Linked DNA regions of Tamandua tetradactyla. The protein of the gene in region 1 purifies or fractionates together with the protein of each later gene. This does not show direct contact. Links are inferred from orthologs where the notes say so. Each region holds a gene or a part of one and is shown on either strand. Other genes may lie near its edges.

The links.
Region 2: the proteins of AP2A1 (region 1) and EPS15 purify together in Homo sapiens (affinity purification with western blotting; 5 studies listed by BioGRID and IntAct, with this or other methods). This does not show direct contact. The link is inferred for Tamandua tetradactyla from reciprocal best matches to the Homo sapiens genes AP2A1 and EPS15.
Region 3: the proteins of AP2A1 (region 1) and OCRL purify together in Homo sapiens (affinity purification with mass spectrometry; 3 studies listed by BioGRID and IntAct, counting the BioPlex papers as one, with this or other methods). This does not show direct contact. The link is inferred for Tamandua tetradactyla from reciprocal best matches to the Homo sapiens genes AP2A1 and OCRL.

What each region holds. Positions count from the first base shown.
Region 1 is NC_135342.1:11,396,312-11,404,608, reverse strand, and holds the start of AP2A1 (AP-2 complex subunit alpha-1), read left to right. Parts: upstream 1-5,159; 5' UTR 5,160-5,298; coding exon 5,299-5,365; intron 5,366-8,171; exon of another isoform or gene 8,172-8,297. Other genes in the region: TSKS (testis-specific serine kinase substrate), read right to left, coding at 295-536.
Region 2 is NC_135328.1:170,658,172-170,665,981, forward strand, and holds the start of EPS15 (epidermal growth factor receptor substrate 15), read left to right. Parts: upstream 1-4,766; 5' UTR 4,767-4,929; coding exon 4,930-4,962; intron 4,963-7,810. UniProt on the Homo sapiens protein: Involved in cell growth regulation. May be involved in the regulation of mitogenic signals and control of cell proliferation. Involved in the internalization of ligand-inducible receptors of the receptor tyrosine kinase (RTK) type, in particular EGFR.
Region 3 is NC_135353.1:34,136,072-34,143,565, reverse strand, and holds the start of OCRL (inositol polyphosphate 5-phosphatase OCRL), read left to right. Parts: upstream 1-4,450; 5' UTR 4,451-4,653; coding exon 4,654-4,692; intron 4,693-4,948; coding exon 4,949-5,028; intron 5,029-7,494. UniProt on the Homo sapiens protein: Catalyzes the hydrolysis of the 5-position phosphate of phosphatidylinositol 4,5-bisphosphate (PtdIns(4,5)P2) and phosphatidylinositol-3,4,5-bisphosphate (PtdIns(3,4,5)P3), with the greatest catalytic activity towards PtdIns(4,5)P2.

The sequences.
Region 1 (8,297 bases):
TCTTTCTTATCATCCCCGCCTTTCTTTTTCTTCTCCCTTTTCATCCCAGCTGTCTACTTTCTTCTCCTTTCCCCACTGACTATGCTCCATCACCACTTTCCTCTCCCTTCCCCAGTTCCTCTCTCCCTTTTCCTTCCCCAGTGAGTGTTCCCTCCCTGCATCCACCACTGCCCTCCCCTCTACTGTGTCTGCCTCTGCCCCTTGCACTCTGCCTTCTTCCTTCCCCTCCCCCCTCGCCCCTGCCCTCTGGCTGTGCCTCCTCTGCCCTCCCCCTCCCCTTCCTCCAGCACCCACGGTGGGACTTGGGCTCTGATGGAGGCAGCGCTGGGCGCTAGGACCGTCCCCGACAGGGTGCGACAAACCCACCCGTGGAACGACACGGCCTTCTTTTTCTTCGTGATCCCCTTGGCCGGGCTGAGCACCCCCCCGGGGGCCTCTGGGAGCAGCTGGGAGCGGCTCTCGACCCCCGCGGGGGGATCCCCGGCCTCGTGAATTTCTTTGGACTGCCAGATTGTTTTCACCACCACGCTCGCCATGGCATGGGGGGGTCCTGCTCCCAGGGGCTCTTTCCTCTGAGACTCGCCACCTACTCTGACCGCTGAACCTCAGAGCCCCTGCCCCCTCAGCCCGCCTCACAAAGGGCCCAACCAACTGGGCCCCCGGGTGGGGGTAGGGGAGGTGACCCAGGAAGGGAGAGAGGCCCTGGCTCATGGAACCTTCCAGAAACTCTCATGGACTACCCCCACCTCTGAGGCTTCCAATTCTACCCCAGCGTGCCCCCGGCCTCTCAGAGCCACACCGGACCTCCTCAAATTTTAGTTCAAGACTTACAACAAGTGGGCCCTGGGGTTCCTGGGGTGAGGGGGGGGTGTCCTCTGACCTCTGACTCCCCTCTTCCTGAGAACAAACGTGGGGTCATTACAGCCCCCCACTCTCATACTTGATGGTTGGCCCAATGCCGGGGATCTGGTGTTTTTGGGGGGCCTGGGAGGTGGTGGCCAATGAGCACGGATGTAAGCCCCTGACCATTTCCTACGGGGGAGCAACAAGACAGATGCACAGACAAAAAAACACTGGGCGTGGACGCATGATGGAAAGGGAATGGAAATGGGGTGACGGCAGGCACATACCTCTGTCAAAACATGTCGCTTTGTGCCCTGCACGTCTGTGCCTCTTATTGCATGTGCATTTTACCTGCTGAAAAAGAATCTAAACGTGATTGTATAACGATAAAGCTTTCGCAATGCGACTGTGTGATTGTGAAAACCTTGTGTCTGATGCTCCGTTTACCTACCTTATGGACAGATGAGTAAAACATATGGATTAAAAATAATTAAATAATAGGTGAACAAATGTTAAAATACGTTTAGTAGATTAAAATGCTAGTGGTCGATGAGAGGGAAGGGTAAGGGGCATGGTATGTATGAATTTTTTTGTTTTCTTTTTATTTCTTTTTCTGAATTGATGCAAATGTTCTAAGAAATGATCATGATAATGAATATGCAACTATGTGATGATACTGTGAGTTACTGATTATATAACAAGAATGGAATGATCATATGGTAAGAATGTTTGTGTTTGTATGCGGTTATGTTTCATAAATAAACTTTAAAAATGCAAAAAAAAAAACCACCCCCAAAAACAAAAAAGAATCTAAGTGAATATCAAGTTCCAGCCAAAAGCAGGCTGAAGCATCTGGGGTCAGGTACAGATGGACAGAGGGAAGGGTACACATACAAACAGGTGATAAAGCAAGTAAAGAAATATGTTAACGGTGGAATCAACGTGGGGGTAGAGGGTGTTGGCTCAATGGCGATTTTGACTTTTCTGAGTATTTAGAAATGTTCATCACGCAGTGATGGAGCAGAAACTGGCAATTGGGATGAAGTAATAGTGCGATCAAACGATCAAAAAACATGATGCTAAGCGAAATAAGCCAAATGCATGATTCTGCTTCCATGAACTCACCAGAATCAGCAAATGCATAGAGAGGGGAAGTAGGATGAGGTTATGGGGGTGGTGGTGCTGGAGGGAGGGAAGGGGAAGTGATTACTTAACGGGTACAGAGTTTCTGTTCAGGGTGATGAAAAATTCTTGGTAAAGGATGATGGTGATGGTGGCACAATACTGCGAACGTAATTAATATTGCTGAATCGTATGCATGAAAGTGGTTAAAATGGGAAATTTGGGGTTGTATGTATGTCACCACAATAAAAATTTTTAAAAATCCAAGCTGCAGAAGGACCGGGCAGAGAGGGCTTTAAGAAAGCAATCCAAGATCCAGGCAACAGAGGGTGGTGGCCTGGAAGGGGCTGAGGCAGGCCATGGGGTGGCTGCAGGCATCATGATGTGTCCTGATTTGGTTTGGGTGGAGGGGTGGGGAAGGATTCCAGAACAAATGTCTGGAGTTATGGCAGGTGCCCAAACGCGAAGACCGGGGGTAAGTTTGGTTCTTCTGGAGGAAATCAGAATCCGATGTGCATCATGAGTGGCCTTGCTCGGGTGGAAGTCTTAGAACTTCTACTAGTGGCTCAACCCATGTGCTCCTTGGCGTGCCCAAGGTTCCCTCTTACCGTCCCATCTTAAAGCCTATCATGGCTTGACCACACCTCCCTAGATCTCCTCCAAAGGTGGACTTGTTCATGACCTGGTCTTCCAGGTGACTTACCAGCAGATCAGCCCCAGCTTTCCAGAATGGTCTGGCCCCAGCCTGCCTGACCCTACTGAGAGCCTCTGACTGCTGAGCACAGGCCACGTGGCTTGTCCAAGCTGAGCCGGGCTGTATGTTTACTGGATTCCAAAGATTTACAAAAATAAGAACATAAAACAGGCTAAAATGATAACAGTTGGATACTGGATTAACTAAAATATACTATGGAAGTTAGGATCACCTGTTTCTGTTTATTTATTTATTTTAACGTGGCTAGAAATTGAAAACTAGATTGGAAATTACACCCAGGGTTCTCACTGTAAATCTCTTTTTTTTTTCACATGGTCAGGTACCAGGAATCAAACCCCGGGTCCTCGGGCATGGCAGGTAAGCACTCTCACCTGCTGAGCCACCGTGGCCCGCCCCTCACTGTAATTCTATGTGGACAGTGCTATTCTAACTCAAAGGGGGTCAGCCATGTCCATCCCTTCTCAGGCTCAAGACGCCCAGGGCCCAGGAAGGCAGCCCCTGGCTCCTCAACCTGCCCCAGTCTCAGGTCCTCATCAGACCTTAGATCGCTTCTACTTTAAGCCCAGTCTTGAAAATTAAGTTTCAGCCAATTAATGAGCTCCCTGAGGGAGGAGAGGCCAGGCTGAGTCCCCCATATACCCAGGAGGGGGCTAGGACATCCTTCACTCCACACCAAGAACCCAGAGTTAAATCTGTTTGTCCTTAGGTGGGCTCTGTGGGGGACATGGCGGTGGTGGCGGTGTTTTTGTGTGTGTGTGTGCGTAACGACCCCTCACGTCTCTTCCTCATAACCCCCAAACAGGACTAGTTTGAATTCCACTACTACTACTATATACTTTTAAAGGCGATTTCTTCAGGGACAAAGTGGTCCTCTCCAAGTCACCCACGAACAAGTCCTTGGAACGCTTAATGTTTTCCTCCATTAAAAAAAGGACTTGTTCAACTCCTGGTCCTAATAATACAATTTTTAAAATAGGATTGCCCCTACGTTCCCTAGGAGAAGCCAGTCTCCCCTTCGCGGTGTTAGGAATGGACTCGCCGGCCCAGACAGCCCCCCCTAGGATGCAGAATGTATTTTCCTAAACCCTATTCTTGGAAATCCAAATGGACGGATCCACTGAACCTGAGAGGTGGGCTCTTACCCATTCCCCCAGGATTCGGAGTGGACATTCCCAGGATCAGGACACTCCCCTAAGGCTCATTCCCGGGATACTTGGCTTCTGAGATTAGAAAAGGGTGGTGGGGTGGGGTTTTGTTCCTCGAGGTGACAGAAATGGACTCTCCCACTTCCCTTTGCCCCAAATTTCTCAATAGCCAAGGGCGCTGCAGTTCTGGAAGCTTTGTTTTCCCCAAAGCCAATCAACCAAACAGGGTCTCCGGAGCGCCGAGGGGCCGGGCCAAAGCCGATTGACCCATTCCTTACTTCAAAAAGCATTTTTTTTTCCTTTTTAGCTTTGCAGTACAAGGTTCCATTCTTGCCCAGGCGGAGCTGCGCATCTGGTGAAGATAATCACAATTTTTATTTGATATCTGCTCTAATGGAGGTTACCTGAGGCGTTGTTGTTGAAGAAAAACAAAACAAAACAAAACAAAAAACAATGAAAAGTGGCTATAGGCCAAAATATAGTTTAAATCTCAGTTTTGCCGCTGCCGAGCTGTGTGACCTTTGACAAGTCACTCAACGTCTCTGGACTTCAGGTTTAACTTCTGTTTCATGGGACTAGACGTGGATACAGTTCTTCTCCAGTGAGATCCCAGGTTTTCTGACAAGCCAAGTCCTGACATCTTAGAATCTAGAGAAAGGTGGCGGGAAGGAAGAGAGAATGCTCCTACAAATGAATTTAAGGAATTGGGGGGGGGAAAAAGGGAAACTAGGAGACGCTTGCGCAGTAAACACCTCCTAGACTCTCGCCCCGCCCAACCCCTTCTCTGCAGCAGGGAATTGCAGACGTCGCTCTACCTATCCCAGACCAGCTGAGTGACTCTTCCCCGTCTCCTTCCTTCTCCACCAATCATCGCCCTCCACCCGCCCCCACACCCGCCCACTCGAGGGCGGAAATAGGCCAGACCCCGCAAATCCGCGATGCCTGTGGGGGTGATCTGCCCCTCCACTGGCCTCTGTGCACTCAAGTCCCGCCTCCTCAGGCCCGCTTCCCCGCCTTCCTTCACGTCTTTTCATCCCCTCTCGGAGAGAGGCCAGGTCCAATCAGTATCCGACCCGGCAGCGCGGAGGGGGCGGTCCCACGGTACGTAACCGAACCCAGCCCGTCTCTTGGGCACCGCTCCCTCCCCCGTGCCCGAACGGAAATAGCGGGGTACTGGACCAATCGCAGCGCTGTACTTTTACCTAAGGGCCAATTAGAAAGCAGTAGGGGATGAGCCCTAGCCTTAGCGGCAGTAGCCACAGCCAACCCGCGGCTGACAGTTCCGGGCGGTGGAGTCGAGGGGAGGGGCCCGGGGGCGGAGCCGCGGCCTGTCCGCCCGCCCGCGCGCCCTCCCCTTAGTCCCGGCCCGGCTCCTCGGCGCTGCCTGAGATTCTCTACGCCTGGTCGCCGCCCGCCAGTCCCCGCTGCGCTGTGCCCTGCCCGGCCAGGCCTGGAGCCGACACCCCCGCCATCATGCCGGCCGTGTCCAAGGGCGATGGGATGCGGGGGCTCGCGGTGTTCATCTCCGACATCCGAAACTGTGAGCCCGCGGCCGGAGGACACTGGGGCGGGGGAGCGTGGATTTGGGGGCTTCGGAGGCCGTGGAAGGGCCCCGGGGGTGGAAGGCCAGCGAGGTCACAGCCAGAGAGGCGCCGGGGGAAGTTTAGGGTGGCGGGGATGGAGGGGCTGCGGGTGTCATCGAGTGCCTCTTGAGGTGACGACACGGGGAGGACCCGGGAGGGTCTCAGAGAAGGGGAGGCCCATGAGGTCCAGGGGAGGGGGGGCCAGGCGGCGTCCCTCGGGAACGGTGGAAAGGCTGACCGTGGGTGGGTGGAGTGTGGGTTGCATTGTGGGCGATGGGGGGTCCTGCTGTAGACCGGACTGAAGGAGGTACATGGGGGGTTCCTTGTGGCGCCGTGGAGCGGCAGGAGGCTAGAGCGGACCGAGGACGTGAAACACAGCAAGATTAGTGGGGCAGGGCTTGAGCGCCTGGAAAAGGGGGTGTCATGGATGAGAAGGGCTGGATAGGTCACAGGTTCCTTGCTAGGGGTATAGAAGGGGCTTGGGAGTGATAGGAAGTCCCAGGGGGCTTGGGGAGGGGAGATGGGGGACTGTAGTTGGACCCTGGTGAGAGATAGGGGTTTCCAGGATGGGGGGTGGCTGAAGAGATGGGGGGCAGTGGGGAGGGGGCTAGAGGGCTGGTTGTGGAGGGAGTCATGAGAGAACCTGACACGTGGGGTCAGGAAAAGAGAGGAGTTTATTTCAAGAGTAGGATGAGGCTGGAGGAATGTTCCATCGGGTAGGGTGGGGGGTTGCCCAAAGCTCTAGGAAGGAGGGCCTGAGGGGTTTGTGGGGAGAGATCTGGAAAGCTAGGAGTGGGATTGGGGGTGGTGGTGATGGTCCCCGAGAGACATCAGGGGTCAGGCAGCAGGACAGCCCTGACTCCAAGCGTTTCCTCATCTGACCACAGCAGTTTAGGGTCAGTGATCCCTGCCGGAAAAAGTTGTGTGGACGGGAGGCCTGTCACCAAGTCAGCTCCCAGCTCCCGGGGCTGGCGTTGGTGTTCAGAGCTGCCAGGAGCTCAGGCTGTGTCTGAGTGGGCTCTGGGGTTAGCCAGTCCTGGCTTTGAATTTGTGTGCCAAGTGACCTTGAATGAGGGCCTTCACCTCTCGGGTGCCTTGTCTGTCAGATGGGCTGCCCAGCACCCCTTCCTGATGGGGTGGTCTTGGTCTTGTGTGTGGTGGGTGTGAGGCGTTTCACATGTGCCAGGCACCAGATGGACACCGGCTATTTTGTCATTCTGCCGGATCTGCGGAGGCTCCTGTTAAGTGCCCAGTGGTTATTTTAGAATTCAGTAGGTATGAATGGAGCTGGGATGTAGAAGGTGCTCAGTGGGCAGGAAGGATGGGAGCTATTGGGTGCCAGTTGATGGAGGTGAAGTTAGGGTTATTTTGAAAAGGGGAGGGAATTATGAGGGGTGGTTAGTCAGGCTAGGGGGGGTGGGGGGCAGCTGTTAGGACTGAGTGTGTGCTCTCTCCCGTGCCTCCCAGGTGGGTGTCCCTGGGCAAGGGTGTCCCCTGGATAAGTCGTTTGGCCTGTTTGAGGCTCCATTTTCTTGTCTGTAGACAGCACTGATAACAGCCCCTTGGCACTTAAGGCTCATTCATTCCTTCACTTGACAAATGTTGTTTGATCACTGTGGGGTCCCAGGCACCATCCTAGTCACCAGGGGCTGCAACAGAGAACAGGAGCCCCTGCTCTTGGCAGTTTCCATTCCATGAGGGAGATGGAAATAAACACACAAGGAGAACAATCAATGGCACAACATCAAGTGACGGTCGTGAAGGAAAATAAGGCAGAAAAGGGATGGAGAATGACCGGCATGGAGAGAGTGGTCAGTTTGAAGTCCTCGCTGAGGAGGTGACAATCCAGTGGAGACTTGGTGTGATGTGAGGGAGCAAGTCCTGCAGATTTTAGAGGAAAGAGGGGCCCGGGCAGGGGACTCAGTGTGTTCAAGGGCCCTGAGGTTGGAGCTCACTTGATGAGTTTGTTCAGATAAGGGTGCGGAGGCCTTATATGGAGCTGGAGCAGAGGCTGGGAAGAGGACAGGAGGCGATGACAGAGGGCAGTGGGGCGGGCCTTGTAGGGTTTTGTGGGCCACAGCCGGCTCTTCGGCTTTTCTCTGGAGTGAGACAAGAGCCACGGGAAGGTTTTGATCAGAGCAGTGTGATCTGATTTGGGTTTAAAAATAATTCCTCTGGCGGCTGTGAAGAGAGCAGACTGAAGAGGTAGGAGCAGGAGTGGGGAAGCAGATGAGGCTGCTGCAGGCATCCAGACGGGGACTGCAAGGGACAGTGGTTGGATTTGGGGCACGTTTTTTTTTTTCTTTACATGGGCAGGCACCAGGAATCGAACCCAGGTCCTCTGGCATTGCAGGCAAGTATTCTTGCTTGCTGAGCCACCGTGGCCCGCCCTTGGGGCACATTTTGAAGAAAAGCTGATAGGGTATGCAAAGGGCTGGAATGATAAAAAGTAGGGAAGGAAAGGGGAAACAGGTAGATGTCACTGCAAGACCCCAGAGGGAGCCAGAGGAGAGAAGGGGAGCCTCAGACCTGGGGGCAGCCGAGGGAATTCAGCCAGAGGAATTCAGACTGGAAAGCCGGGGGTCCTCTTGCCCTTCCTTTCTCTAGCAGCTCCACTGCTGTGCTTCCGGCTGGAGTGGGGTGCTGTGGACACAGCAGTGAATAAGTTGGGTTCCCCTGCATCTGTGGAGCGAACAGCCCCAGGGCAGGTGTATAAATTTACTGCGTAAAATTGTAGCTGCTTTCACCAAATTTTGTACACAGATGTTCACAGCACTACTGTCTGCAGTAGCCCCTAAGTGGGAACAACCCAAAAGTCCATTGAGCGATGCACTGGAGAACAAAATGTGGCCTGTCCGTACATTGGAATTTTATTCAGCCATGAAAAGG
Region 2 (7,810 bases), on another chromosome or scaffold:
CAGCCTATTGATTTGGTTGTCCCCACTGCTTGTGAGAATATCAGAAATTCTCCAGTTGGGGAAGTTGAATATTTCCCCCTTTCTTCCCAGTCCCCCAAGGGGACTTTGCAAATACTTCCTTATTTACTGCCCAAATTACTCTGGGATTTATCAGGGCATTACATTAACCTGGACAGACCAACAAGATCTCATGCCCTATTCAAGATTCCATGTACTTACAGCGTTCAACTAAACAGGCCATATGAGTTAAATTAGGTAATGTGCTACCCAAGATACAAATTTTAGGCCAGGTTTTTTGATAGGCCATTTATGTATTGTCTCTAATCCTTACACCACCCTACAGGGTAAGTATTATCTACAATGTACACATGAGGAATCAGAGGCTTAGAGACCCAGAGGCTTTAAAGTGTCCTAGAAAAAACAGGTAAGTCTTTTTAGTCTGCTCCTTGAAGCTCATTCTTGTTACAGTGAATTAGATCATAACATATCTTCCATTAGCTACATTTTGCTCTCCTAAAATAGATTTGGGATATGACCTAGTGCTTTGATGAGATCTGGGACACACATTTGCAAACTATCACTGCTGTGTCAGTTTAAAAAATCCAGTTCCAGACGTTTTAGGCCTTTTTAGGAGTTTGGACCATTTTCTCCCACCCCTGTAGACCTGCTTCCATCCCCTACTACTTATCAAGTTATTGATTTAATCCAGAGCCAAGGAGGGGAGGAAGTTGGTGGCACAAATTATTGGTAGTATGGAAGGGAGCCTGGGGCAAATTTCATAAAATTTTTCTCTCTTCTGTTTTGGTCTGCTAAAGCATTGGATTTTTTTTTTTTTTTCCTGCATGGGCAGCCAGAAATTAAACCCAGGTCTCTGGCATGGCAGATGAGAATTCTGCCACTGAGCCACCATTGCACCGCACTAAAGCATTGGCTTTTCTGCATTTTTTTTGGGTTGTTGTTGGTGGTGGTGCATGGTCCAGGAATTGAACTCAGGTCTCCTGCATGGAAGGCAGGAATTCTAACCACTGAACTACCCGTGCACCCCAGCACTGGCTTTTAAAAAGGGGATTTATTAAGTTACAATTCTAGGGCATGGAAATGTCCAAATTAAGGCATTAACAAGAGGAAACCTTCACTGAAGTAAGGCCAACTGCATCTGGGTTCCTCTGTCACATGGGAGGGCACATGGTGACGTCTGCTGGCTCTTCTCTCCTGGGTTGGTTTCAAAATGGCTCTCAGCTCCTGTGGGTCCTTCTGGTTTCTGCTGGGGCATTTTCTTTCTTCAAGCATTTGTGCTTTTCTCCAAAATGTCTCTCTGAAAGGACTCCAGTAAGTAGATTAAGACTCACTTTGAATGGGTGGGGTCAAATAACCTAATCAAAAGGTCTTACCCAACAATATGTCTACCCCCACAAGATTAGATTAAAAGAACATGGCTTTTCTGGGGTACATATACATAACAGTTTCAAACTAGCACATTTTCTTTTCTTTTTTCCTTTCCCTTTTCTTTTCTTCCCTTCCCTTCCCTTTTCTTTTTCTTCTCTAAGGCCCAAATCTGCTTTCAGTGATCCTTCCTTAAACAAATTAGTTATAAAAAATGTGTTCTTTGGTTTTCTCATGTATGAAATGGAGATCCAAATAATTACAAATGAGATTATGTATATAGTTCTGTTTAACACTTTCGCCACAACTACTAGATGCCAGAAGTTGTGCTAAATGTTGTATGTAAAAACATTTATAAACTGTGAGGAGCAATACTGCACAAATATTAGCTGCCATTTTCTACTTATTATAAGTTGTATTAAATAATAATAATTCCTTATATTTCCTCAAAAACTTCCATACTGCTAATTTTGTGATTAGCAAACTGTGATTTGCTAATTTTCACATATGAGAGATTGAAGTTCAGATAATTTAAATGCTCTGTCTGAACTCACATACTAAATGACTTCAATATTCTATTTCAGTGTTACTACTGCACACTCCTTTTCTAGGAGTGTGTACACCAGGGACTCGACTCTATTCAACCAGAATAACATCTTGTATCTTATATGGTTTGGAGGAGACTTCTTGAACAGCAAGTGTGTTGGTTTGAAAGGATTTATGTACCCTAGAAAAGTCATGTTTTAATCCTGATCCAGTGAGAGCAACCATTTCTTTTAATCTCTATTCTGTACTATACACTGGAAACTCAATTAGATTATCTCCATGGAGATGTGACTCACCCAATTGTGGCTATTAACCTCGGATTAGAGGGAGCTGTGACTCCACCAATTCCAGGTGGGTTTTGACTTGTTTACTAGAATCTTTTAAAAGAGGAAGCATTTTGGAGAAAGAGAGAGCAACAGAGCAGACTCCTAAGAACCATGAGAGCCTATGCAGCCAGACGCCCTTGGAGATTAAGAAGGAAAACGTCTTCACGAAACAAGAAGCCTGAAGAGAAAGCTAGCAGATGTCATCATGTTCTCCATGTGTCTTTCCAGCTGAGAGAGAAACCCTGAACTTCATCAGCCTTTCTTGAGTGAAGGTAACCTCTTGTTGGTGCCTTAATTTGGACATTTTTATAGACTTGCTTTAATTAGGTCATTTTCATGGCCTTAGAACTATAAATTTGCAACTTAATAAATTCCCTCTTTTAAAAGCCATTCCATTTCTGGTATATTGCATTCCGGCAGCTAGCAGACTGGAACAGCAAGTAAAAGTAAACTCCCAAAATCAAGTTGCTCTACCACTTTCAGATTTCTTAACTAAATTCATGTACCTACAGCTTTAGGCATTTTCCTACATCTTATCTCATTTATCTTCACAACTACCTTAATGTCTTACAGCTAGAAAATGGGTGTTTCTGATGTCTGAGCACTGTTTTTTCCACTACACTGCACTGCTTTTTTTTTCTTAATGCAATTTTATTGAGATATATTCACACACCATACAAATCATCCATGTATACAATTACTAGTTCACAGTATCACACTGCACTGCTTTTCCACTACACTACACTGCTTTGGCTATTAGCAGTGTGACTGGGAAAATCCCTTTAGTCTCTGTTATGCCCAGTTTCCTCATCTGTAAGGTGCATATGATGATCACTATCTTCTCAGGTGGCTGTGAAGCTCAAATGTGATAACATGAAATAGAAAATTCCAATAGAGACATCAGTTGTGGTTCTAGCTGATAAACATACCAAAGCAGAGTCATTTAAAACAGTGTCTCCCCTTCACCCTTGAGGCAAAAAGAAAAATAGCAAAAAGAGGCCAAGGAAGACTCTTTGTTAAATAAGTGATTGCACAACAGACCTGTATTACTTGCTCTTAATGGATGGACCTTGTTGAAGGGGTCTGAGCAAAGTTAGGTGTCCCTGGGGACATTTTTGGGATGGTTTGCCTATAGTGGAAAAGGTCTAAAAACTTAGGTGGGGTCAGCTCCATCATGGGTTTGTTCAATTGGCGCTCCTAGGGCATCAAATGAGGACTGCTATGATAATGGTATCAGGGGTGTGGGCTTGATAGAGTTGTGGTTAATTGTCATGGGAAGCCACAGTGACTGAGAAAGGGAGACCAGTTCTGGGCAAAGATATTTATCGAAGCGCTCTCTGGGCTGGGTTAAACTGTGAGTGGTTGTGGTAGAGAGTCGGCCATATGTCCTCAGTTTAGTGGGGTGTAGACAAGCCCTCAACTAACTCTTAAAAACAAGGCAGATTGTAATAAGGATCGTATCAGAGCAATTAAGAGGTGGGGTGGGGAATTCCTAGAAGGCTTCTTGAAGGAGATGGCATATAAGCCAGACCTTTGAAGATGAGGGTTTCAAATGACTGGTTGGTTATTCCAACTGAAGGTGGCAGCATGGGAAAGTCTAGGAAGTCTTACATTTAATGCAGGCAGGGACTAAGACATGCAAACACTCACTGAGCACCTACTACATGCTAAGGTCTGAGGACAGAAATATATCAGAAACAGCCGTTGTCATTGAGGAGCTCAGTCTAGCAAGAAAACAGATATAAACAGTCATTCAGGTGATGATGACTTCCTAAAAGAAGAAATGTTGAACTGAAGAAGAGAGTAACTCTGATTTGAAGAGGTCAGGAAATAGTTTTCCAGAGGAGTTGACACTTGAGTTTCGTCTGAAGGAATGAGGAGGAGTTTGCTAGATAGATTAAAGCAAGAGTTAGGAGGTGATGCAGGCATCTAAGCAGGGCTGTGTTCTTTTATTGGCCAATCCATTTGCGGCAGCCAGCAGGCGAGGAAAGGATTTTTTTCCCCCTCTCACCTAGATTTTGACTTGGAGAGACAGTGATATCATACTCCAATAGTAGATGGTTAAATGAAAGATTTTGGAGTCAGACCTGGATTCTAATCCAGTTTATCTACTCAGGTGTATGATCTTAGGCAAGACACTTATTTGCGTCTCAGTTCCCTCATTCATACAATTAAAAAAATTAAAGCGTCTGGCACAGAGCCTGGGACATACAAAGTGCTGTTATTCTTTACCATTATTATCTCATTTAGCCCTCACAAGCTACCTGGACTGTGGGTATAAATTTCTCCCATTTTTCAAAAAACAGAAGCTCCGGACTAGGTAGGTGACCTGCCCAAAGATCACAGGACAATCAGGATTCCCCTCCCACTCCGCAGCCCCGTCTGCCTTAATTTCCTATTCGCGCGGGCTTTTCTCAGGCAGCCCCGAGGACAGGCAGCTCCGGTCTGGCGGCTCAAACTCCAGTGCCGAGGTTTGGGTTCCGCCGCGGCCTTCGCCGGGCGGGCGGGGGGCGGGGCCAGGCGGGGCGGGGCGGGCAAGAGGAGGGAAGTTGTCGAAGTTGGGGTAGACGCCCGCCTGCCCGGGCCTCGCCTCCGGCCGCTCCCTCCGCCTCCTCCCCGCCCGAGTCTCCGTCCGCCAGTCCTTCCTTCCCCTCCTGTGCATGATGGAAACACCATGGCTGCGGCGGCCCAGCTTTCCCTGACACAGGTAACGCCACCCGCCCGGCCGCCGGGGTCCCCCGGCCGGTGCCTGGCCTATTCGTGGCTCCAGACTTCTTCCCCCACTGTCGTTAGGTTCGCCGACCCGGGCAGCTTCTCCAGGTTCGCTAGCCTGGCGGCCGGTGTTGATGAGAAGCAGCGTGTGAGTGACTGGGGGAGGGCGCCATCCCGAGCCGGTAGCTCAGCGACGGCAGCCGCGACCCCGCCCCGGGTCCCTCAGTGCCCCCCCCTCGCCCCCCGACCGGCCCCTCTTCGCCGCTGCTGAGTGGACCGTGTCCCCCGCTTGGATCAACCCATGCCCGGCCCTTCTCACTCCAGTCAGCTTTCACCGACCCAAGAAAGTTTCCTTCTTCCAGGCCAGACGCACTCCCAGGTGAGCTCCGTGTTGAGCTCGCGTGGACCATCCTGACCCCCTGCTTCAGCCCTCGCCCCGCACGAGGCTCGCCCTCTTGGCAAGGCAGCGCGCTTCCCCCCTCAGAATTACCTTCCCGACGCACAAGCTCACTCGAAACTAGTCTTTCCCCTTTAAGTCGGCTTTTTTTTTTTTTGCCTACTGGAGTCCAATGAAATCACCCTCCTCCCCAGCAGTTTTCTTCAGTCATCCTCATCCTATCAATGTACTCACTCTGCTAACTCCTTATTGAGTTGAGTTTCTTCCCCTCCCGGTCAGGTTATCTTCTGGGCCAGATCCCGATTTCGAGTCTTTTCCTTTCCAAATCCACCTCCACCCCTGCCAGGTGGGCTCTCACTTAATCCCTCTCCAAGCGTACAAGAGGGAAACAGCCTTGAAACAAGCGTTTGCTTCCTCTAGTCTTGGTCCTGGGAACATTCACTGAGATTACTTGTCCTGGGGAATCTTCACCAAAATCTGTTCTTTAAGGTCTTTTCCTCTTGCCTTTTTGCTTCCTTCAGAGACCAGTCCTTGTGCTTCACAGAAGACCTCCCAACATCACTTACTCAGAGAACCTCTTTCCTCCCTCTCTGTCAAAGAAAGCCAATTGTAGTTGGCCAGTATGATAGCCGGTATGATGAGATGACAGGTGTCTGCCAATCCCTTCCTCTCCCTCTGACCCGAACAGGGCCATATACTTCCATGTTGGGGCCCAACCTTCCTGCCCACCGTGTGGAATTTTTCTGTTACCTTGTAGTCTTCTTGGCTTGGATTTGTCGGTGTTTAATAAGGCAGTAGGATCTTCTGTGTAGAAACAAGAGGCCTTGCTATTTTGTGCCTAGTACTCCACAACAGAAACTTAGTGATAAATGTCTTCTCCCAGGAACCAGGAGTTACTAATGAACAAGTGCTGCAGGTAAAATAACAAACTTCAGTTTGCAGGAAATAACAGTCTCATAAGTGAATGTTTATTTCTGCATTTATTTGGTGTTAGTTATCCTGATTTGAAAAGCAGATAGCAGGGAAGACCCCTTTAATATGGAATGTGGTGGCTAGAGTCTTGGTCTTGAATCTCTTTGGAAGGGTCTGCCTGAAATTCAAATTTGAAGAATGGCAACATTGACTTTTGGGTGTTAGCTTTCTGAGTGTAGTTAGTGACATGTACTAAACAAGATCCCTTTTGGCAGGCTACTGCTCTTTGGCTCTCTTGGCTAATTCTGGCAGGAGTTTTCTCCTCTGATACTTTTGTTCTTTTGAAGACTTTTATAGATTTGCTTCTTAGTTGTGTGTAAACTTTAGTTTCTCCCTGGGTAATACTGTTTTTAAAATATCTCTTTTCTCTCATTCATTTTGGTGATTTGCTTCAGGTTCTATCAGGTTTGTAGTCACCTAAGTGATTTATGTTCTTGTAGTTATATATTTAGGAGTTAACCTGTACCCACAGTAAATGATGAATTAGGAACGAGTGTTGTTCCTCAGTGTTTCAAAGATGAGAGAACATACTACATTGATGGTTCATTTATATTGATAATTCGAAAAAATCACTTTAGACTATTTTGATTTTAGAATATTGAAAGGCAGTGAGATATATTGTAAAGGCCCAGTAAAAAAGAACCTTTTCAATTGTTAGTATACACTAATGTGCCTCCTTGTTATTGTAGAACTTTGCAGATATGTAGGTTTTTAATTAAAAACATTTTTTAACTGCTTGAGTTTAACTGCTTAATTTGAGATAATGCAATCTGGTCTCACATTCATTATTGATATATTTATGTCACCCCCTGCCTTCCTCACCCTTTTCCCCCTCCCCCAACATGTAGGCATACTGGAGTGAGAAATCCTTCAGGGCAAGGGTAGCTTTTAATTCCTCTCTCTCCCCCAGTGCCCATCTTGAAGAAAATGATTAGTCAATGTTTGTCAAATGAATGATTGAAAATTCTAAAACACTCTATGGCAGTTATAAAGATTAAAAGGATACTGAAATTAGTTTCTGCCTCTGGTTGTGAGATAATGATGGGTTTGAGGTAGGTTCATTTTAACAAATATTTAAGTATTATGTGCTAGACACTGTGTTGGGATTGTCTTGTTTATGATTTTCTGCCTTTATTGATTAAGCGCAACTGACAGTTGCGGGGGAGGGAAATGTGAAAAATATTTTAATTTATGCCTTCCTTCCTCTTCCCCTGCTTGCCACCCAACCCTCAATCTCCCAACCCCCAAACTAAAGTAAATTGTATATTAGCTTCTAGAGAGGATAAGAATATTAGAGTAATGAAACTCTAGTTCCATTTTCAACTCTGCCAACTGAGGATATGCTAGTGAACAAAATAGATGACAGTTATTGCCTCCGTGGAGTTTACATTCTAGTAAGGGAGTTTGAGCTAGCAGATCTAAGGACCTTTCTAGTTCTTAACATTTCTGTTTTATAGATCATATTCTATGACTT
Region 3 (7,494 bases), on another chromosome or scaffold:
CACATTTTTCTTTATTTTTCATTTTCAAATATTGCAAACGATTCCAAATGCAGGAAAATACATAGAGTAACATAATCAATGTAGGTACCCACCACCCAGTTATATCAAATCTTACAACACTAACTTTCAGGTTGTGTTTAAGAAAATACATATTACAGATACAGTCTGTATTCTCAGTGTACCCCTCACCAATCGCAATCATCTTCCTTCCTTAAATTTGGTGGTGATGGGCAGGCCACAGTGGCTCAGCAGGTAAGAGTGCTTGCCTGCCATGCCTGAGGACTCGGGTTCTATTCCTGGTGCCTGCCCATGTAAAAAAATTAAAAAACAAAAAAAAATTTGGTGATGATGTTTTATATACTATCACTACAGATCTAGATAGCCATAAACAACAGATATTTTCAAGCTTTATATAACTGGCATACTATATATATGTATTGCAATTTGCTCTTTTTGCTAAGCATTATATTTTTGAGATTTAAACATGTCATACATTTAGCACTAATTAATTCTTTTTCATTTCAAGATAGTATTAACTTCATGAATACAATGATTTATTCATCCATTCACTTACCAATGAACATTTAAGGTGCTTCCAAGTTTTTTTTGAGATTACAAATAATGCTGCAATGAATGTTCTTTTACATGTCTCCTTGTGCTTAAAGGTTAGAGTTTTGTCAGGGTTTATACATAGAAATGAAGTTTCTGGTTTGAAGGGTATTACATATTCAATTTTATTAGACGTTGTCAGATTGCACTTCAAAGCAGTTCTACCAATTTATCCTCCTTTTAGCAGTCATGGTATCTCATGGTTTACATTTGCATTTTCCTGAATAGTAATAAAACTGAGCATTCTTTCATATCTTTATTGGCCAGTTGGGTTTCCTTGACTGTGAATAGCTGATTCATATATTTTGTCAACTTTTCTATCTGGCTTTTTTCTTACTGATTTTTAGTTCTCTATACATTCATACATTTAATCAGTATTTTTTGTGCATCTCCTTTATCTCAGGAACAGTTCTAAGTACTAAGAATACAGCTATATGTGATGCCCCGATAAATCCCAGAGTGATTTGAACAGTGAATAAAGAAGTATTTGCAAAGTCCCCTTGGGGGAATGGGAAGAAAGGAGGAAGTATTCAACTTCCCCATTTGGAGAATTCCTGATATTCTTGCAAATAGTGGGGACAACCAAATCAATAGGCTGAGCCCTCGATCTTGGGGTTTGCCCCTATGAAACTTATGCCTGCAAAGGACAGGCTAAACCTACTTAAAATTAGGCCTAAGAGTCACCCTCAGAGAGCCTCGTTTGTTGCTCAGGTGTGGCCTTTCTCTAAACCGACATGGGAAGTGAACTCACTGCCCTCCCCCTCTACGTGGGACGTGACTCCCAGGGGTGTAAACTTCCCTGGCAATATGGGACAGGAATCCTGGGATAGCTGGGACTTGGCATCAAGAGACTGAGACAACCTTCTCAACCAAAAGAGGGGAAAGAGAAATGAGACAAAATAAAGCGTCAGTGGCTGAGAGATTTCAAACAGAGCCGAGAGGTTAATCTGGAGGTTATTCTTATGCACTATATAGATATCCCCTTTTTAGTTTATGGTGTATTGGAATGGCTATAGGGGAGTACCTGAAATTGTAGAGCTGTGTTCCAGTAGCCATGTTTCTTAAAGATGATTGTATAATGATATAGCTTTTACAATGTGGATGTGTGATTTGTGAAAACCATGTGTCTGATGCTCCTTTTATCTAGGGTATGGACAGATGAGTAAAAAGTATGGATAAAAAATAAACAAACAATAGGGCAAACAAAGGTTAAAATAAATTGAGTAGACTGAAATACTAGTGGTCAATGAGAGGGAGGGGTAAGGGGTATGAGATATATGAGCTTTTTCTTCTTTCTTTTGCTGGAGAGATGCAAATGTTCAAAAAATTATGATGGTGATGAATACACAACTATGATATTGTGAGCCATTGATTGTACACCATTTATAGAATGTATGTCAGGAATGTTTTTATATTAGGAATGTTAGTATGTTTGTTAAGGTTTGACAATAAAAATTAAAAAAAAAAAGAATACAGCTATAAACAAAACAGACAAAAACACCTGCCCTAAAGGAGCTTACATTGTATGGAGGAAAGTAAACAATAATTTAGATTGATAAATAAAATAAAGATACAACAGATACTGGTCAATCCTACAGAGAGAAAATAAACAGAGAAGAGGGATAGGGAGCATGTGTGGGAAGGGGATTATCAAATTACAATTTTAAATAAAGTGATCTGGGAAGGTCTCACTGAGAAAGTGACATTTGAGCAAAGACCTGAAGGGTGTGAGGGAACAGGCAGAATGCACAGCACGTGCAAAGGCCTGATTAGTCCTAAGGTCAGCAAGGAATCCATGTGACTAAACAGAGTGAGTTGGAGAACGTGGCAGGAGAGGAAGTCAGAAAGGTGATGATAGCCAGAAGTCGTGAAGTCATCCTTTCTTGGTCACATGCCTTGGGAATATCTTCTCCCAGTCTGTGGCTTGTCTTTTAACTAGGTTAAGTTGACTTGAAGCCATATATTTTGAAATTTAACATGGTCACACTTATCAATCATTGCACTTAATTCTTTATACTTTCCAGTGTCTTAAGTAATCACTCTCATTCCCTATTCCAAGGTTGTACAGATATTCTCCTATTTTCTTCTGAAAGTTGTAAAATCTTGCTTTTCACATTTATATCTTTAATCCACCTAAAATAATGTTTTTCCTATATGGTGCGAGGTAGGAAAATTTTATAATTTTCCATATGCATACTCAATAGCCCCAGCACCATTTAGTGGATAATCTGGTCTTTCCCTGCTGTTTTAAAATGTCATATATTCTGTTCTAGTTTGCTAGCTGCCGGAATGTGATATACGAGAAACAGAACAGCTTTTAAAAAGGGGAATTTAAATGAAATGTGATCCCACCATACAGCATTCAAAAACAAGGGGGGGGGGGATTTATTTAGTTGCAAGTTTACAGTTCTAAAGCCATGAAAATGTCCAAATTAAAGCATGGATATAGAAATGTCCAATCTAAGGCATCCAGGGAAAGATACCTTGGTTCAAGAAGTCCAATGACGTTCAGGGTTTCTCTCTCAACTGGAAAAGCACATGGTGAACATGGTGACATCTGCTAGCTTTCTCTCCTGGCTTCTTGTTTCATGAAGCTCCCCGAGGGGGCATTTTTCTTCTTCATCTCCGAAGGTCTCTGGCTGCATGGGCTCTCATGGTTCTCTTGGTTCTGAAGCTTTTTCCAAAATGTTTCCTCTTTTAAAGGATTCCAGTAAACTAATCAAGACCCACCTGGAATGGGTGGAGTCACATCTCCCTCTAATCAAAGCTTAATACTCACAATGGATGAGTCACATCTCCGTGGAGATGATCTAATCAAGTTTCCAACCTACAGTACTGAATAGGGATTAAAAGAAACAGCTGCCTCCACATGATGGGTCGGCATTAAAACATGGCTTTTCTAGGGTACATAATCCTTTCAAACGAGCACAGTTGCTGAATATCAACTTTCCATATATGTGTGGGTCTGTTCTATATATTGTTCCATTGATCCATCTATCTCCAAACCATACTGTCTTAATTACTATAGTTTTAGAATCACTCTTGGTATCTCGTCCACTAGAGATTCTTGAGCAAATGAATAAAAGTAATTAAAACACTGCTCTGGGAAAAATATTCTTATCACTGTAAAGAGAATAAAATAGTTAAAACAGTGATTAAAGACAACGAGATTCATTTGGGGGGAAATGCAGTAACCCAGATAGGATATCACAAAGGCTGAAAATAAAACAAATGGAGAGAAAACAAGGAATCTAAAAGTAATTCCCCCCAAAATATTAACAAAGTTGAATGGATACAGAGAAAGCAGGAGAGAGAGGAAAGCATATGGCTTTGAAGTTTCAAGCCTAGACCCCTGTGTGAAATGATGAGTTTGATTTGTTATACGGTTTTGTGTATTTTGTTAACAATGGGGTATATTAAATATGAGGTCTGTGCCAGGGATATATATTTGGACGTTCCCTGCCTAGAGATCACCTTGAGAGGGGACAGAGGAGGAGCAAGAGTCTGAGCTTTGAGGAATTTTCTGGTTTAGGGGGTGGAAAGAAGAGGAAGGGTAGAAGAACATCTGAGAGATAGGATAACCCGCATAGTGCATTATAACAGTAATAAGGATTTTTCGACTAGATTTGATATGAGTCCGATTAGCCCAACACCTTTTGAGCCCCCTGATAGTTATGACTGCATTTTGTTCAAAGTCCCCAGAACAATGCTGGCGTCACAGGTAGTATTTAAGATGCATTCCTTGCTGGACATGGTAAAGACGCCCCCAGTCCGTCGTGTCTGTCACTGCAGTTCCACAGCTTGGCCGCAGAGGGCGGAATCTGCGGCGGCCTGGGAAACTGGCGGGGGCGCGAGGCGCCGCTCTCTCTCGGATCAAGCTCTCAGCTCCCGGCTCCGGGCTCTGGGCTCCCGGGTCGAGGCTGGCGGCGCTGAGCCGTTCTGCAAAGTAAGCGTAGCGCAGGCAGGTGGGTGTGAGGGCAAGGGAGGCAGCGTCGTTGGATCCGCCCGCAGTCTGCAGTCCCGCTGATCCCGGAGGCCTCCCCAATGGAGCCGCCGTTCCCGGTCGGAGCCCAGCCCCTTGCCGTATCCGCCTGAGATAAGGGGGAGGGGGAGCCGTATCGGCCCGGGGATGGGGATCGGGGGGGAACTGTGGAACACCGGGGAGGGTGTCGGCTAGTTGGAGAAACCGCCGAGCAGAGCAGGGGGAGGGGGCGCTGGCGCGGGAGGCGATGCCTGGGGGCCAGGGAGGGCGGGCGGAGGGGCGACAGGCTGCCTCGGCACCGCACCACGCCACCCCTCTCCGGCCGTGATTCCAGAGACCCTTGACTAGCGTCCGCATACTATCGAGGGTATGGAGATGAAAGGGCCCCTCCGGGAACCCTGCGCTCTGACCCTAGCCCAGAGGAACGGACAATATGAGTAAGTAACCACCTGATTCCCACAGAAGAGAGGAGCCTCCCCTTACCTCCCAACCCCAAACCACGACCATCCACCCTCTTCCCTCTGGGGTTTTGCGGGCAACAGGTTCAGACCCAGGTGTGAAGTGCGAGAGTGCTCTCCAACGGCGGGGCTCTCCCCCTGCGTTAAGTGGTAGATTGCGTCTATATCGCTCAGTGGGAGGACTCCGTGAACAGGGAGGAAGCCTGGGTTCTTAGTTCCTGCCCCTGCAATTGACGTGTGTTGTGTAACCTTGGGCAAGTTAATAAAGCTTTCTGGGCCTTAGTTTTGTCACCGGTTAAATAAAAATATTAACTACCTTACCTTATAGCCATTCTTTGGAGTTGTAACTGGGGGAATCATAAATGCAGAAGTGTTTTAGGAAAAGTAAAAGCCCTGTAGAAAGGCTTCATTGTTAAACTTACAGGCTTGCCTTTTCTTAACCCCATTCAACTGGTTCCTCCAGTCTCCCCACCCCCCTATTCCATAAAATTCAAAGACCTGCAACTTGCCCCAAGGCAGGGTCATTAATTCAGTAATGGTTTAGTGGAAGCCAGTAACTGCCTCACACATTGGCCTCACACATTGGTAGAGAAAAGGTGATGAAATGTGAAAAAGTATAAACATTTGACATTTTATCAGTGTATCACCTTCCACTCTATTTCTGCCTTGCACATAGGAGCTCAGTAAGACTGCTGACTGATTGAGCAAAAGATTGTTTTCATAAGCTGTCATTATATAGCTGCTAATCTCACTCCCTTGCCACTAAAGCCTCATCTCAAAAATTTCCCATAGTGACCATCTTATCCCATCCACATGTGCCCAAGCCTCCTCTCTTGGGCGTCCACTGCATTTCTTGATTTCTTCTGAGTTTAAAAGTTGTTGACCACTTAAATCCTACCATCTCCCATCATTGGATTCTGCCTAAAAACAGTATCTCTGAATTCCTGCTTTCAGACTCTAGACTGGATTTGTGTCTGTGCTGTCTAAACCTAAAAGAAATTCCCACTAGCCTAGGCTGCCCACTTCTTGCACTGTTGGTGCCACTTTAATTTAGCATCACCTGATTCTATAAAAGTAGTTCTTCCCTAGGTCCTGCTTAGTCAGTTCTGTTGATGTCGGAAATTCATATTGTTTTTCCCAGGTTTCCTCAATCCCTGGAAGACTGGTTTAATAAAACTAAATTCAATAGACAAGTGAATTGAAAACTGAAACAAACTGACACTTCCAAGGCTAGGATAGGGCAGAGAGAATGGATTTGGAATGCAGAGCCTAGGTTGAAATCTCATTTCTGCTATTTTTGAGATGTGACTCTTGGGCAAACCAATGAAATTTTTATCTCTTATTTTCCTTTTATGCCAAATATGATTATGAGGATTAGTTAAAATAACTGCTTTGTTGAGGTGATCACAGCCCAGGATCTGGTTCCTTGGTTTAGTAGGTTTGCAGCTTACTTGGCTAATAAGGGAGTGAATGACTGGCCTTGACATGAGCACTTCATCCTGTCTGGGCTCTTGTACTAGAAGTACTTTTAAACTTGCAGCAGTGGCTGTTCTATTTGAATCCTCCCCATAGAGAAATCAAATTCTTGTATTAGAATTCTGTGCAAGTTACGAGTATAATAACTAACATTTAATGGTTTTAATATGTGCCAGGTACTATTCAAAGCACTTTTCATATGAGGGTTAATATGAAAAAGTAATAATATCATCATTGTTCCCCTTTTATCAATGTAGAAATTGAGGCACAAGTTTGTCACTTGGTCACAGTTAGGAAGTAGCATACTTGAGATTTGAATCTATGCAACATAGCTCAGCTACTCCAGCTCTTAATTACTCTATGCTGTCTCCCAGCTGTGTACGGAGGCTACCATTTCAGTAACCTATCTCAGAATTATGTGGTCTGCTTTTTGAAATAATTTCTTAGAATCCCCTAATACCCTAATGCCATCTATGATCCTTAAATTCTTGTTTCTTGGGTACCTTCTCTGTCTTTGGTGTCCAGAACTTTTTTTACCTTTGACCTTTTTATCCTAGAACTTGAAGCCTATCTTAATCTTTACATCTGGAGCTTTTCCAATCAACCACAGGAGAAATTTGCTTGACAGACCAATGTTACAATTAAAACTAAATATTTTGGAAATGAGACATCAAAACACTAGGGTTCATTTCTTTTTCTCAAGGATAATAGATTATGATAGTACCTGTTAGTTCACCTTAAATCAAAATATGTGTTTCCTAGGAATAATGCTGAGTCAGCATTGACAATATGTCAAATACTGATTTCTGTTTGACATCTATCAAATTCTGATTCCATTGTTTTGCCATATGCCTTTTTAACAAATCTTTTTTGTTCTGAAACGAATTATTACATTTCAGTAGAATTTTTTTTTACTTTTTAAATTGTATAGTATAACATATATACAAAACAAAGAAAGAAAAAGTCAAT